Drosophila melanogaster: one gene and its partner. The gene in region 1 interacts genetically with each later gene. Each region holds a gene or a part of one and is shown in the gene's direction. Other genes may lie near its edges.

Region 1 (9,428 bases):
GGGTGGGTGGGTGCAAAAGTGCACAGAGAAAAAAGAAAAGGGGTTCTGCGAGGAAAATAATTTAAGTATATAGTACGGCGATAGTACGGTTAGGTAAATGCAAAGGTTTATTTTAAATTATGGAATAATAAATTGAGATTTTTTGAAAAATCATATACCTTTACAAAACACAATTGAACAATGAGATATTTTTCTGTTATACTTGCTGTATAGTTCAATAAGTTTATTCAAACGACTGAACCTTTCGATGAAAATAAAATTAATAAAATGATTTTCATGCACGGATTCGAATGAAATGTTCAGCTATCCTAGCTATTTTCTTTAGATTCAACCAGATATATTTTTTTCAACACACAATTCTTCGAGTGCTGAAACATTTTGGCAGGAACAGGAGCAGAGCTCTTATCGTTGTGGCCCCGGCATATGTTACGCACATTTACAGCGTATGGCGATTTTCCGCTTTCCACGGCCACGGCCACAGCTTCCCACCTGATAGGACAGCTCGGCAATGTGTGGGAATCGCAGTGAGGTGCCGGTAGGAGTGGCAGGTAAGCCTGGCCGCCTCGCAAGTTTCTCACACTTCCAGGACATGTGCTGCTTTTTTGGCCGTTTTTCCCCGACTGGTTATCAATTGGCCGATTGGAAATTCCCCGATGGCGATGCGCTAGCGTGAGAACATGAGCTGCGAGCATCGGGTTTTTAGCATATCCATACCTGTGGCTCGTCCTGATGGGAAGCGAGAAGCAGCAGGATCGGATGTAGGATGCAGGATATAGGGTATAGGCGCTGTTGCGCCTCACCCGCAACACCCACATTAGCATCGGACCAGCGTCCAGTGTCCTGTTAATTGCTTTATGGACTCTCCACTTTCCGCTGCGTGGGAATCTTTGCTCATCCTACCTGTTTCCATGCCACACCAACCCATTCCCACAGCATTGTCCTCCTTATGTGAAACTCTCTAGTTCAAGTTCAGTGTGAATATTTGTGTTGACTTTATTTTTAAACTTTTGGCCATTTGTTTTCAGTTTGCTGTTTGCCTGTAACCAGATTAAGGTCAAGTTGCTTGGATGGGCTGGGATTCGGCTTGAGATCCGGTTCATTGAGTTGCCATTCGAGGCATGAGTCGCATTTTTATACGCTTTCCGGGAAAAGATCGTTAAAGTTTGAGTTTCATTGTCGTGAAAGGGGAACTTTTTTAGCCCTAGGGTTTATAAATATAATTGAAAAAAAATTTGAAATGACAATTTATTTAACATTTTTTTAATTTTCTGTAAAATATTAATCCTAAAGATGTGCACATTTTACGATGATTTCATACTATCTAGCATGTTTTGATTACATCTTTGTTTCCTATATCCAGAATTGAGATTATTGAAACAAACGCTGATATATCAATGGCATATTCCCGTATTTATGGCTATATGAAATGCTGTAATGTTCAAATGGAATAATGGCTTATATCCTGAATAATTTTGACCCACTTACGGCTCGTAAACTATCCTATTAAATGGATTTGCCGGCATATGATATCCAACCCTCTGGCTGACTCCTGTCCGCATATTGTACGCTAGTCGAGTCAAATATGGCAATCGCGGCCTAAATGGGAACGCCTCAGTTTTCCCCTATTTCCCCTGGAATTTCCACTTCGCCAACGGAGAAAGGGAAGCAACCTCACTTCAGACGTGCATGTTGGCACATTTGCGTTGCGGATTAGCGCGGAATACTCTTTAGGATTATGATCGTTGGGCAAATCTGTTGCTCCTGCGAATGCGTAACGGATGTCGACAATTCCCTCAATCTCTGACTTTTGACAAATGTTTCATTTCTTGCTGCTAAATGGATGCAAAGTACTATCAATACAAAGGAAACACTTTATTGGAGTTTTGGCTTTGATTTATTTTTTAATTTTTTATCATAAATTAGCTAAGCTCTAGTTATTCCAATATACATTTAGTTGAAGTATAAAATTTGAGGTATATATTGCATTATATGGCCATAAAAGACGTCGGATTAACTTGCATATCTAACATTTTTGTGGGCAAATTAGCGGCAAAACTAAAAACATTTAAGATACGTGACCTAAGTCAATAAACTTGTATTTACGTGCGAATTCCAGCCATTCGGTACATTTAGGTAAATGGCCAATTTCTTTGAGAGTGACAGAAAAAGTGACTCGATGGAAAATAAAGCAGCAGGAGTTCCAATGGCTTAGATTTTGCCAAAACTGCGCCAAAATCACGTTCGAAAACTATCAATGGCAGGATTCCGGCTGTGGGTCATCCTCATCCTGGCTGTGGATGTGTGTGAGTGTGGTGCATATAAATTTCGCCACCTCCTAAACTCTCGTTTTGTTTGGCAGTGTGCGTGGGACATCATTTGGGTATTATGTGCTCGCACAGACACCAGAATATTTGTGTGTGTGTCTGTGTGCATATAGATATAAGTGAAACTCCTGCGGTCGGCAAAAGTCAACCTGTTGAATGCAGGAGTCACTTGGAGTGAGATGGCAGCTATTTTCGTCTCGCCATTCGGCAAAAATGATCTGAGCAAATTAGTAACATTGCGAAAAGTCAATTGCCCCGGGTAAACAGGTAAAAATCCAGTGCAGCCAATGGCAGGTTGTTTTCTCAGGATCAGGTAACAGATCCTTTTCGGGATCAGTTGGGAAACTGTTAAAAGTGCTTGTGCCGCTGGAAAGCGGCTCAGTTGCAAACAGGTGATTGCAGGGATATGAGCAAGTGCTGAGAAGGTGCTCGCAACAGTCTCAAAGCAGGATCTATAAAAAAGGATATCTTTAAAATGACTAACCATCGGCGAGTGCGCAAGGATTGCTATGAGAGCAGATTGCATGGTCGGTTGTGGTTTTTGGCAACGAAATATATCAACGTTCATTTTTTTTAGTTTGTTACCAACTTTCTCCTCTGTTACTAAAAATGCTTTTTGGTTATTTCGATTTTTGCAGATATAGCCAAAACGTGTGCCATGAAGGAGAAAAGCAAAAATGCGGCACGCACGCGACGTGAAAAGGAAAACACGGAATTCTGTGAATTGGCCAAATTACTGCCGCTGCCGGCGGCGATTACTTCGCAACTGGACAAGGCCTCCGTCATCCGGCTGACCACGTCGTATTTGAAAATGCGCCAAGTCTTTCCCGATGGTAAGTTCAATCGGAAAATCGTCCTGCGGAAAAACTCACTTGATTGGCGCTCAATTTGTCGCCGCTCTTGGCTTTTCATCTCGTGTGAAATGCGCCTTGTGGCTACACGGCAAATGATGCGGAATCTTTGACAGCCACGCGACCGACACGCTCATTATAATCCAAGCTCGTCATATCCTCGCAGCAGGACATGCTCCTTTGTTTTCACTTTAACTCCAATGTACTTGCAATGATTTCATTTCATTCCATTTTACGCTGCCAGTTTTCAAGTTTAAGCGGCTATGTTTGTTTAAAGCATATGTTGGCGAGAATCGGCCAGGGAAATAACAGGGAAATAGCACTCAACAAATGGGCAGACAATAAACAGCAGGATGAAGTGGGCGGCTGGTTGGGGTTGGCGAAAACACAATGGCGGCTGCTTGGTTGTTTCACTCAAAGAGCAGCGAGAGCCGCACTGGAAAACCGAACTCGAACATCTCCCCCCCCCCCCCCCCCACACACACACACACACACACACATTTCCCGAACTTTTCCCCACCGACCATGTGAGCGTGCGCCACTGAGATTTTCTGCTGACAAAGAGGGTTGCTCGAGAAGTGAGTGGGTGGGTGGTTCGTTGGTCGGTCGGTTGGTTGGGCGTTTGACGCTCCCATTGTTGCCGCACCGTTTTGTGCTTTTCTTTTCAGCCTTTATTGAAATAATTATTTTAATAATAGGCAACAAACAACGAGATCCGGACGGGCCAAGGAAGTGCCAGTGGTATTATGTACAACACAATATATGTTGTATATATGGTGCGAAGTCGATGAAAGTCGGGGGGGGTGGGCCAGTGGGTGGAATGGTGGGCTGTGAATGGGCCACCTACGGCGCTCGATGACTTTAATTGGGAATAATATTTAGACGTCAGCAGTGGCAAGTAGGGCGTGTGCTGCCACTGCCACTGCTGCTGGTGGGAATTTTGCGAATTAAGATACTTCGAGCGGATGACAAACAATTAATTCAGGACATTGGGGCGGATAAGACAATAGAAACGGGAGCTTGACATAATACTAAATCCAAGTCCAATCAAACGGAGACAATAGAAAGGACAGCTTAAATATAAAACTATATAAAAATCATTTAAAACGGAATACAATTTGATTGTATTAAGTAGCAAGAACTTTTTAGATTTCATTTTTAAAGACAATAAAACATGTTTCATAAATCTAAATCTTATTTTGTAGGTCTTGGCGAAGCCTGGGGCTCATCGCCTGCCATGCAACGCGGCGCCACCATCAAGGAGCTGGGCTCCCATCTGCTGCAGACGCTGGACGGATTCATCTTCGTGGTGGCTCCGGATGGCAAAATCATGTACATCTCGGAAACGGCCTCCGTGCATTTGGGCCTCAGTCAGGTGAGTGTCGGTGAATGGATCTCTTGTCCTGATTTATGCGCATAATTTGCCGGGCCACCTGAATTTGCCTTTTTGTATCCTGGCCACCACTTGCATTTGCAAGTCAATGGGCTTGAATGGTGCAGGTCACCCAAGTGCTGTGGCTTCAGTAAAGACGATTCATTTGCATTTGCCCACTAATTGGCACTCAGTGCTGGTGGAGCAAATTAACATAGCTCCACTTATATGATCAGCATAAAGAAATTAACTTTACATCAGTATAGGATATATTTTATATAAATTTAATATTTAATGGTTTATTTATCTCTTTTTTTTAACCAGGTTGAGCTGACGGGCAACTCGATATTCGAGTACATACACAACTACGATCAGGACGAGATGAATGCCATTTTGTCGCTGCATCCGCACATCAACCAGCATCCAGTGAGTAGAGCATCCGTGTTTCCACAGAGTCCTTTGAAACATTTGAAAATGTTTGCGCTCTCTTTCTTTCTCTCTCCATCTCTCTCTCTCTCTCTCACTGCCATGCATCCATCCTACTCTGACTTGTACTCACGCCACAGGCCGCCTTTCTCAACTCCCTACAGCTCGCCCAGACGCACACGCCCATCGGCAGTCCCAATGGCGTCCAGCATCCATCCGCCTACGACCACGATCGCGGATCGCACACCATCGAGATCGAGAAGACCTTCTTCCTGCGCATGAAGTGCGTCCTGGCCAAAAGGAACGCGGGCCTCACCACCTCCGGATTTAAGGTAAAGAATTTTATACATACCATTCCTTTAAATGGATTGATTGCTTATCCTTGTATTACTTGATGATTTTAGGTGATACACTGCTCCGGCTATCTGAAGGCTCGCATCTATCCCGATCGCGGGGATGGACAGGGCAGCCTCATCCAGAATCTCGGCCTGGTGGCCGTCGGTCACTCGCTGCCTTCATCCGCCATCACGGAAATCAAGCTGCACCAGAATATGTTCATGTTCCGGGCCAAGCTGGACATGAAGCTCATCTTCTTCGATGCACGGTAAGTGTAATTCAAATTTCCATTTAATTAGGGCACAAATAGATGAATAGTTCGTTGTCTGCATATTTTCTATCACTTTGTATTGAAATCCACTCGAGAAATTCCTATAAATCTTACAACATCGATTTATTGGATGTTTAAATATCCTTAATGTTTAATATCCTTAAATATCATAATGTAATTCTAAGACCAATTTTTATCCGTGTAGCCTGGTGCTTTCACAGCATAATTTTTCTCACTGCACTTAAAAAATTCTCGAAAGTATCCTTTGCCTGTTTGCCGTATATTCGACACTAGGCAAATATTTAAACGGGCCGCAGAATTCGTTTTTTACACCACGATAAAAAGTACCAGCAGACGCCCCCAAAAAGATAATGTTTTCAAAGTGGCGGAAAACAAAAAAAATAATCGAGTAGGGAAAAGGAAATGTAAGCAAGACGGTGGCGACATGACAAAAGGAAAAACAAATCATTTCCCTCTTGAGCTTGATTTTCCTTTGTCCCTGTGCGTGTGTGTGAGTGTGTGAGTGAGTGCTGAGGGGGAAAGGGGACGCTGTGTAAGTGCCTGCCGGGCCAAAAAACCAGCCCACTTTGTCTGACATTATTGTCACTCAATTACCCTCATGATGCCACACAGCATATTGCCATCCTATTCTGGCGCCCTCGCACTTTCGCAGCAAACAACCCCAAAGTGCTGAGCGGGAAATCAGCCCCTTTTTCGCCGCTTCTTTTTTTTTTGTTTTCCTGCATAATTGAATTGGAGTCGGCAAAAGTAAACCAACCGAATAAAACACGCCAGCGACAAAGGCAACACCAATGACCATTCATTCACTGTTTAAATAAGCCAGCGAAACTTTTGCCCTCGACCTCGAAACTTATCCCCATTCTCATGCTCATCCTTTTGCCTGTTTATTTGCTTACAGCGTATCGCAGCTAACAGGATACGAGCCGCAGGACCTCATCGAGAAGACCCTGTATCAGTATATCCACGCCGCGGACATCATGGCCATGCGCTGCTCTCATCAAATCCGTAAGTACACTCATCCCAATACACTGCCATAATAATTTCCATAAAACATCATTCTCATCGAGTTTGTTTCTTCTCTCCCTATCAATAGTGCTGTACAAAGGACAAGTGACCACCAAGTACTACCGCTTCCTCACCAAAGGCGGCGGCTGGGTGTGGGTGCAGTCGTACGCGACACTGGTGCACAATTCGCGATCCTCGCGAGAAGTGTTCATCGTGAGCGTGAACTATGTGCTGAGCGAACGAGAGGTGAAAGACTTGGTGCTGAACGAGATTCAGACGGGCGTTGTGAAGCGGGAGCCCATATCGCCGGCGGCTCAAGCGGCACAGGCAGCTCAAGCGGCCCAAGCGGCCCAAGCGGCACAGGCGGCACAGGCGGCACATGTGGCTCAAGCGGTGCAGGCCCAGGTGGTGGTGGTGCCCCAGCAGTCGGTGGTGGTGCAGCCGCAGTGCGCCGGAGCAACGGGTCAGCCGGTGGGTCCGGGTACGCCAGTTAGTCTGGCCCTCAGTGCAAGTCCCAAGCTGGATCCGTATTTCGAGCCAGAGCTGCCGCTGCAGCCGGCCGTAACGCCCGTGCCCCCAACGAATAATAGTAGTAGTAGTAGCAACAATAACAACGGCGTGTGGCACCACCATCATGTGCAACAGCAGCAGCAGTCCGGCAGCATGGATCACGATAGCCTGAGTTACACGCAGCTTTATCCGCCCTTGAACGACCTGGTGGTGAGCTCGAGCAGCAGTGTGGGCGGTGGCACCGCCTCAAGTGCGGGCGGTGGATCCAGTGCGTCGGCCTCGTCCTCCGGCGTTTACTCCACGGAGATGCAGTATCCGGACACGACCACCGGCAACCTGTACTACAATAACAACAATCACTATTACTATGACTACGATGCGACGGTGGATGTGGCCACCTCGATGATACGCCCATTCTCGGCCAATTCGAATAGCTGCTCGAGCAGTTCGGAGAGCGAAAGGCAGCTGTCCACCGGAAATGCCTCGATTGTGAACGAAACATCGCCCTCACAGACGACCTACAGCGATCTGAGTCACAACTTCGAGCTGAGCTACTTCTCCGACAACAGTTCGCAACAGCATCAGCATCAGCAGCAGCAGCAGCATCTGATGGAGCAGCAGCATCTGCAATACCAATACGCCACCTGGTGATCCTAAAAATGTAAATAACCAAATGTTGGACGATGAGCCTTGACTGCTACTGTACTGTTGTTTATAAAACGTCGACTGCCCCCACCCCACCATCCGTTGCAATGTTATATACACCTCTGAGTTCTCAGTTCGAAATTGTAATATGTGGCTGAGCCACACACCATCTGAATTTCAGGACCTCCTCTATGCCTCTATTTTATTTATTTAACACCCCCACCATGCATTACCCAATGCAATGCGTTCGCGTTAATTGTGCAGTGTAAAGTTACAAAGAAATTGATACAAAATGCTAAGAAATTAAGAATGCGGAATGATCGTTGTTAACAAATGCAAAAGCAAATACAAATTCTAATAATAAATAGTTGTAAGGCCTAACTGTAAACTGTTCATACAAACTAACTTAAATTAATTGCACATACTTATACTTATAACTATATAGTAAAGCGCATACACTTGGCCCCCATAATCATGCATACACATCGGATCTACGAATATACATATGTATATGCAATAATGTGTAAATAGTGCAGGGTCCGCTCCACTATGCAGTTAACGAATATGATCTTCATAAGTCAAGTAAATAATTGTAAATGTAAAATCTATTATTATCGAGAATTTTTCTAATTTGAATAAACAAATTATTACGTGGGTGAACAATAAAAAAAGAGCGAGAGTTCGATTTTTTCAAATAAGCGCCGCTGGAAGCCTCTAGAGTTATTATTTAATTTAGTAATCTTGGTTTACAAATAAAATGTTATTTTCAAAAACTAGCACCTTTATCTATTTCCATTATCTTTGTTTTAAAATTATCTATTTATATGCTTTTATATATTTCACAATTTAGCGTTTTAATCAAATTTTGTATGGATTGAAAAATGCAGCTTTGACGCAATAGCCGATTTTAAAATATTTCGTTGCATATTTTTAGGTAACATACTAAACTACACATATATTTAGTTCCTTAATCTGCCACCAGCTTACATTCTACGTATACGTATTGTAACGTATACGTATAAAAGTGGTGCGACATCTAGTGGTTTTGAACAAAACTTGATGTACTTTACAAAATGTATAATACATATTCTACAGAATTTCACCACTGTGTTGAAATATATTTTGATTCAATTGCCATAGGCACCCTGTGTCGACGGTTATTTAAATTAGATTAGAAAACTAAAACCAATTAGCTTTTTACAAATTAAAAAAGAAGCTTTTCTAAATTTATTATAAAATAAAATAGTATTGAATTTTTTTGCTTGATGGATTTTACTAATTTATTTCCATTGCTAGTTTCTTTTTCTGTATGTCTTGACCTCAATTTTAATTAATCATTCACCTATAATGCTGCATATTTTTCCACCATTCAATCCTACTGAAATCAAATTAGAAAACCCTGGATGCTTCAAATGCCACATATTCCTAATACAGAATGCTTGCTTTTGGCCATGGATGCTGCTGCTGGTGCAGCATAAACATGTAAAGCCGAGCCGAACCAAACCCTTCTGGCCAAGTTGCTGGCCTGGGATGAAATAGTTGGCCCATTTGTGTGGGACGGTTGGTTCAGTATAGAGACCATTGATTTATTGCCTGCCATTTTGTGTGAGCCAACAGAGTAGGCATCCCTTTTTTGCTGGCAAGTGCTATCTGCAGATAAGCCTGAC
Region 2 (6,820 bases), on another chromosome or scaffold:
ACAGCTCCGACAATTGGATTTGCATCGCATTTTCCCACATTCAACCAGGGCTGAACAGAATAGCTCGATGCGGGCTTACACATGTTTTTCACACCAATTATCCTTTTAGCAAACACCGCAAGTTGTTCGGAAAAAAGGTGACTTGATTGTTTTTTTTCCTAGGATGATATTGCGAAATATTATCAGCGATTTGGGAACAATACTGATGACAATAACTGACCCCGGAAATAGTTTTCTATACAAACAGCTAGACTGTTTTCCTTCAGTTCCCCAGAAACGGGGCAAAACAAAGGATGCACAAAACGGATACAAAAGTTGCAGGAATTGTGCAACATCCATGACAGAAGTGGAACCGGTTTGTATCAGGTGAAGCCGAAACGGAAGTCGACAGCACATGTGGGCGTCCTTCCATTTCTATAGAGTTTTTCCTTAGAGTATCCTTGGAAGAATGGCTCGTTTTGTTTCCCTAATGGTCTGAGCTTGGGATGAGCCGAGAGGAGAAATTCCCGAGACATTTTGGCCATTTCTTGTCGCATAATCACGCCCGTATATGAAAAGCGGATATGATGGGATTTTATAGCCTTGTAAGAAAATGTTATCTAAAGTGCCATAATAATAACATTACTGTTCGTTCCCATTTCATAGATTTCTTTTCATTTTATGCAAGTTTTTCCACGAAAATGATTTCATTATCCCTAGCTGGACCTGCCATCCCCTAACTTTTCACATTCTATGAACATCAAACGATAAGTGCGCTATAATTTTTCATTTCTCCAAATCAAAGCGAAGCGAAGAAGGCACCAGAAATTCAAAGCAGAGAAAGGGAAATTCGTGAGCATGCCAAAAATGCTCTTAACTGGAATGACATGTGAAAAGCGCCAAAATCTGTGAGGCGATCAAATGGACACGTACGTCAGGAAGCAGGAAAAATCAAAAAAGAACTCTTGTGGGTGGAAAATGGAAATGCAAAATGAACAAAGGCCAATCCGAAAACGTGAGAAAATTCAGTCAAAACGATTCATTTTATAACTGCCGACGCCAGATGGTAGGCATAACTCCAAATGAGGGGGAAAAGAATATATAACTTGCAAAAATGATACGATATATATGCCATATCAATAATTGAACGATTCAATCAACTGAACAATAATGGGAATGTAACCTCATTTGCCTTTTATATTCGTTTTAATTTTTTCATTATCATTGAATCCATTCTGGACATTGTCAAGTCTTACATTTGCGCGATTGTTCCTGAATTTAATTAAAAAAGAATGAATGACAAAAATTATATTTGCGGAATACAACAAATAAAAATGAAACCAGCTCCCCAAATGACAATTGAATGAAAACAACAACAATCAACAATCGAAAACAACAACAATGCAGGAACGAACAATAAAACGCGAGTCTTTCTCTTTCACCGCGGAGAATCGGTGAATTTCGAATGGGTTAAGCGGTGAGGGTGATTTCTGGCGACAGGATAATGGTTAATATTGTATTCGAATAATAGTAATCACGGCACAACTTGACTCATCTCTCACCTGCCATTATGCGATCAAATTAAATTTACATTTATTTAATTTTCAACTGCACTCTGATACTGTATTTATACTGATAGATTTTTATCAGATAAATATCTGATAAATAAAATGTTTTTCAGTTTGCACGGCACCATAACAAAGAAAGAAAATCTATTATTAGCTTAAGTAATTATTAAATTAGACAGAAAACATATTTAGAGTTTATTTATCCAACTACGAGTATTAGAAGTTTATCATGAATTATTTTACAACTTCCACTAATTTGAACAATATTCTTAAGACAATTTTGATTGTCACTATTCCGCAAAAATGAAATTAAAAATGCATCAGCTAGCTTATTTATTTATTGAATTTGATAGCAAAACACATAAAGAGTATATGTGCTAATAATTTAAAACGTTTATCCTTATTTGTTTTACTCTTTACACTTATTTTAACTGGATTCTAAAAGAATATTTATTTATATAAAATAAGGAATTCATCATAAATTGTATCACAAATGTAACAATTATTTATGCCGCATGTGGGTGGGGAGCGATTTTAGGAAACAGGATCCTGCATTCATCCTACACTGTGTGCTATTATCACTCACTTAGTGTCCTCGTCTGCTAAGTGAAATGCTGAAAACTCAGAAAGAAAAATGTGACGCGGACAAAACTTTTTCCATTACACAACGTACAACAGTTTTTGCTTTCATTATTATTTGAGATTCGTTGTTGTTGCCGTTCTACGTTGTCCTTTCTTCCTTTTTTGGGGAAAGCAGACACAACGGAAACGTTGCGAACGCTGAAAGCTTTTTATGCTCTTACGCTATGGGCCAGGTATAAGAGCTTTGTAAATGCAATTGGAAATTGCACTAAGCTTTGGTGCATCGTTGTGTGGGTGCGTGCATGAGCAGGAGAAAGGCAAAGAGAAGGGTGGGATAAAAGCTCAAAGGGGAGAATGGTTTTACTTTTGGGGTTATGGAGTTTTAAAAAATATAATAGAATATTGCAACCTTATTCCTGAAAGAAACATTTTTATTAAAACAACGGCTCTTGGGGTCAAGATGTTGTTTAATGAAGCAATGTTAAACTCTTACAATCTTTGCATCACAAAAGCCATAAATTATGTCTTCGTTTCGAAAGAGAGGTAAATATGTGTGTTAACAAGAATTTGAAAACTTATTATTATTATTTGGGAAACTCTTTTAGTTACGAATGAAAAAAACATTAGTTTGCGGTAGATTTAATTGTCAATTATTCGATTGCCCTTGTCCTTTCAATCAACATTAAAAGGTTTGTTTTCTTTTGCTACTGCTTATTTGGTAAACCAAAAAGAAAAGCTGGCTAAAACATCTTTTCTATAATAAAGCACAGAGGACCGTTCTACATGCATCTGGGTGAAGATTTGCCTCACTTCCACTGGCTCCTTTGTGGGCTTCTTTCTATGGCCAAATAAGTAAATAATTGCAGTAATATCCTTTCTGGAGCGGCCAGGAAGAAGTGGCAAAAAGGGAACGGAAAAGAATGGAGAAGAATGGCGAGCGAAATGAAAGAATGCGAGAATGGAGAGCGGGGCAAGAGAATGGAAAGCGTGTTTCCATGTCCTTTTCACAAACTAAAAAGTCCTTTCACACACACACATAGTACTGACTACAGAGTACACATAGAGAACGGTATATAGCAGAACACAGACACCCACAATGGACAAAAATTCACACCAAAGACCCATTGTGATTGGCCCAACAAACACGCACACACATACGCGGGGAGAGAGTTGTGTTCTCTCCCTCTCTCGTTCTAACTGCATAGGAGATGCGGAAGTGCAACGCCGCCGTGCAAACAATAACGGAAATTGTGTGCCCACTGTGCGAAAATCAATGTGCTCCCGCGCTCGCCCTGGCTCTCTTTCTCTCTCTCGCTCCGTACTTTGAGCTCCCCCTGCCCCACAGGATTGGGGTCGCTAAATCGAATAACACGAAGCACAGCCGAACGAGAGCTGCCTGGCTTTTGGCTCTATTGAGCTCCTCTATTGAACACACCCCTCAATGGGCGAACAACTATAACCGATATAAAGGAGCCAATGGAACAAAGCCAGTGGAACAATGGGCCGCAAAACGAAAGAGAGAAGACGCTATGTGTGAGTGAGAGCGCGACGACGGCGCAGCTCTCTCCCAGGTAAGAAGCCCAGCCTCTATCCCGCTCGCACCCACGTGGCTTACGTAAAGGTAATGGTGCGAGGGTTGCTCGCACTTCGTGCTCAACTCTCTTCCGAGAGAAACGGGATTTGGCTGCAGTCGTGTAGGCCGCACTGGAACACTACTGAAATCAGTCACAAAAAAGCAGTCGATCCGAGCAGAAGCAAAGCAAGAGCAAAGCAGAAGCAAAAGCAAGACAGTAATTGACATAGAGACAAAGAAAAAATCTGAGAAATCACAGTTGAACCACAGACATATTGTGTTCTAGAAAGTGAAGTGTTGATCTTGAAAGAAGCAAAAGTTAAACAAAGTGTTCAAAATAGCTGGAATGGCCACCTTATCGACACACCCCAATTACGGTTTCCATTTGGGTCAGGCCCAAGGCTTGGAGGACTACGCACCGCAAAGTCAGCTCCAGCTGAGTCCCGGCATGGACATGGATATCAAGCGTGTGCTGCACTACTCCCAAAGCCTGGCAGCCATGGGCGGATCGCCCAATGGACCCGCCGGCCAGGGTGTGAACGGATCCTCGGGCATGGGTCACCACATGTCCAGTCACATGACCCCGCACCACATGCACCAGGCGGTCTCCGCCCAACAGACCTTGTCGCCCAACAGTTCCATCGGATCCGCCGGCAGTCTGGGTAGCCAGAGCAGCCTGGGCAGCAATGGCAGTGGTCTCAACTCCAGTTCGGGTCACCAGTCCGCCGGCATGCACAGTTTGGCCACATCGCCGGGACAAGAGGGTCACATCAAGCGTCCAATGAACGCGTTCATGGTCTGGTCCCGCCTGCAGCGTCGTCAGATCGCCAAGGATAACCCCAAGATGCACAACTCTGAGATCTCCAAGCGCCTGGGTGCCGAGTGGAAGTTGCTGGCCGAGTCGGAGAAACGACCATTCATCGATGAGGCCAAGCGCTTGAGGGCCCTGCACATGAAGGAGCACCCGGACTACAAGTACCGGCCACGCCGCAAGCCCAAGAACCCACTGACCGCTGGACCCCAGGGTGGACTGCAGATGCAGGCCGGCGGCATGGGTCAACAGAAGTTGGGAGCTGGACCGGGAGCTGGAGCCGGAGGCTACAATCCATTCCATCAACTACCGCCATACTTTGCACCCTCACACCATCTGGATCAGGGTTATCCAGTGCCGTACTTCGGTGGATTTGACCCACTGGCTCTATCGAAATTGCATCAATCCCAGGCAGCGGCGGCGGCGGCGGTCAACAATCAGGGTCAGCAGCAAGGACAAGCCCCGCCCCAATTGCCGCCCACCTCGCTGAGCAGCTTCTACTCGGGCATTTATTCCGGCATCTCGGCACCTTCGCTGTACGCCGCACACTCCGCCAATGCCGCCGGACTCTACCCATCCTCGTCCACCTCCTCGCCGGGATCTTCGCCCGGAACCATCACGCCAAATGGTATGGATGGTTCCATGGACAGTGCCCTGAGGCGACCGGTTCCGGTGCTCTATTAGAGTCGAGTTTTAGGTTAGAGTACAGAGTAGAGTACAATTGTTGACGCATTCCCAAAGTGATCCACTGGTTTTAAATCTTCAAAAGCTCTAAGTAAGCCAATCCTCCAAACCACTCCGCTTAATTCTAGTACAATCTTCGCGCACTTCAGATCTAGAGAGTAAGGAGGGAACACACAAAACATTCCTAGCCAATACACAAACTATAAATTATAATTTATTTAGCGCACTCACTATACCGCAAAGAAAATTAAAAAAGATAAACCTAATTGTAAATTAATTTTATTTAGTTTTAAGCATCGAGCGAGCGCCTCCTTCTTGTTGTTTTTTTTCGCATCAGCACCTACCTAAAATGTAGCTTATAGTTTTAATTGTCTAACCCTCTCAAATTGTAAATATCCCTGCAACTATTCGTTAAAGTCTCAGTGTAGCCCCAAATGCGAGGAAAGAACGTACATCAATGTATTATTGTATTATTAATTGTATTGTAAAAGTTATCATCTAAGCGAATAATGGTTCATGAAGGCCAACACAAAACAAAGACATTTAAAAGTGAATAAAAACAAAATGATTTGAGAAAACCAAATTTGAAAACCTGTTTATTCTATTTCAAATAATTTACAGCTTGGAAGATGTGAAACTGGCAATTGGTTTTGAAATGAATGATGATGATTCTCTACCAAATGTAATCACATTAAAGACATAGGTAGAGTTGTTGTGACTGGAATCAGACGAAGTTATCATATATATATATATACCGGGAAAAAGCTGAAAAACAAAAAAGATAATTTTAAGCCTTTAATAGAATGCATTTCCCATTTTCTTAGCCAGCATACCACATTTTACAGTTATGTTATAAATTTACTTTAAACATATGCCCAAGCTATATGTGACTTAAATTTTTCAGCTGATTATATTTTATACTCCATAATTGGATTATCATATTTAAATTCGAATTTGTGTCTGTATTTTTCATAACCTTTAAGATTATACAGGGTCGTGCTCTGAGCATGCATCAAAATTATCAACGAAATTAATAACGAATTTGAATATTCATAAGACCATTAACATAATATTCTCAACTGGATTGAGTGAGTCATTCGGATAAAGCTTAAAAACAATCATTTCATCATCACCTAATAATGGGTATGAATTTTTCTGTTTTGTGAGTAGTATTCGTTTAATATCAAAGTCCTATCCCGTTTCTGATCAAATTAACCTTGTCTCTGGGTGTCTTTACTATTATTTCGCTCATTTCTGTGTGAGTTTTTGTTGGTTAGTTTACACCCGCTGGGAAGAGATGAAAAAACTAAATTTGATTTGCCATTATACAACTATTTGCCGTTGTGTATTAATTTCTATTGATTAATGCGCTGTTTATTTTGCGCCTCCAAGACAGAATTCGATAGTTTGAACAAAAGGTCGTCTCTTCGCTCTTTGGATGGGGGTCACATTGTGTTTTTTTTTCGGGATCAACGGGGGGCCTGGGCCCTCTAAGACCTCACTATTCGGAGTGTAACTGAATACCCTGGCGAAAGAAATCAACGCGTGTTTTTCCGTTTTGATTTTTAGCTTCTTTTCGTAATAATAATAAGAATAATTGCGGTCATTAATAAATCCACTTGC

The links.
Region 2: of sim (region 1) and D, changing one enhances a phenotype caused by changing the other (phenotypic enhancement), as found in Drosophila melanogaster (one study listed by BioGRID).

The regions. Positions count from the first base shown.
Region 1 is NT_033777.3:13,069,700-13,079,127, forward strand, and holds sim (single-minded), read left to right. Parts: upstream 1-2,699; 5' UTR 2,700-2,799; coding exon 2,800-2,851; intron 2,852-2,962; coding exon 2,963-3,157; intron 3,158-4,380; coding exon 4,381-4,550; intron 4,551-4,871; coding exon 4,872-4,973; intron 4,974-5,113; coding exon of another isoform or gene 5,114-5,137; coding exon 5,138-5,305; intron 5,306-5,377; coding exon 5,378-5,577; intron 5,578-6,499; coding exon 6,500-6,606; intron 6,607-6,694; coding exon 6,695-7,767; 3' UTR 7,768-8,425; downstream 8,426-9,428.
Region 2 is NT_037436.4:14,174,567-14,181,386, reverse strand, and holds D (dichaete), read left to right. Parts: upstream 1-2,766; 5' UTR 2,767-2,818; intron 2,819-2,894; 5' UTR 2,895-4,048; coding exon 4,049-5,197; 3' UTR 5,198-5,777; downstream 5,778-6,820. UniProt on the Drosophila melanogaster protein: Essential for segmentation and CNS development. May modulate the actions of other transcription factors, including gap and pair-rule proteins.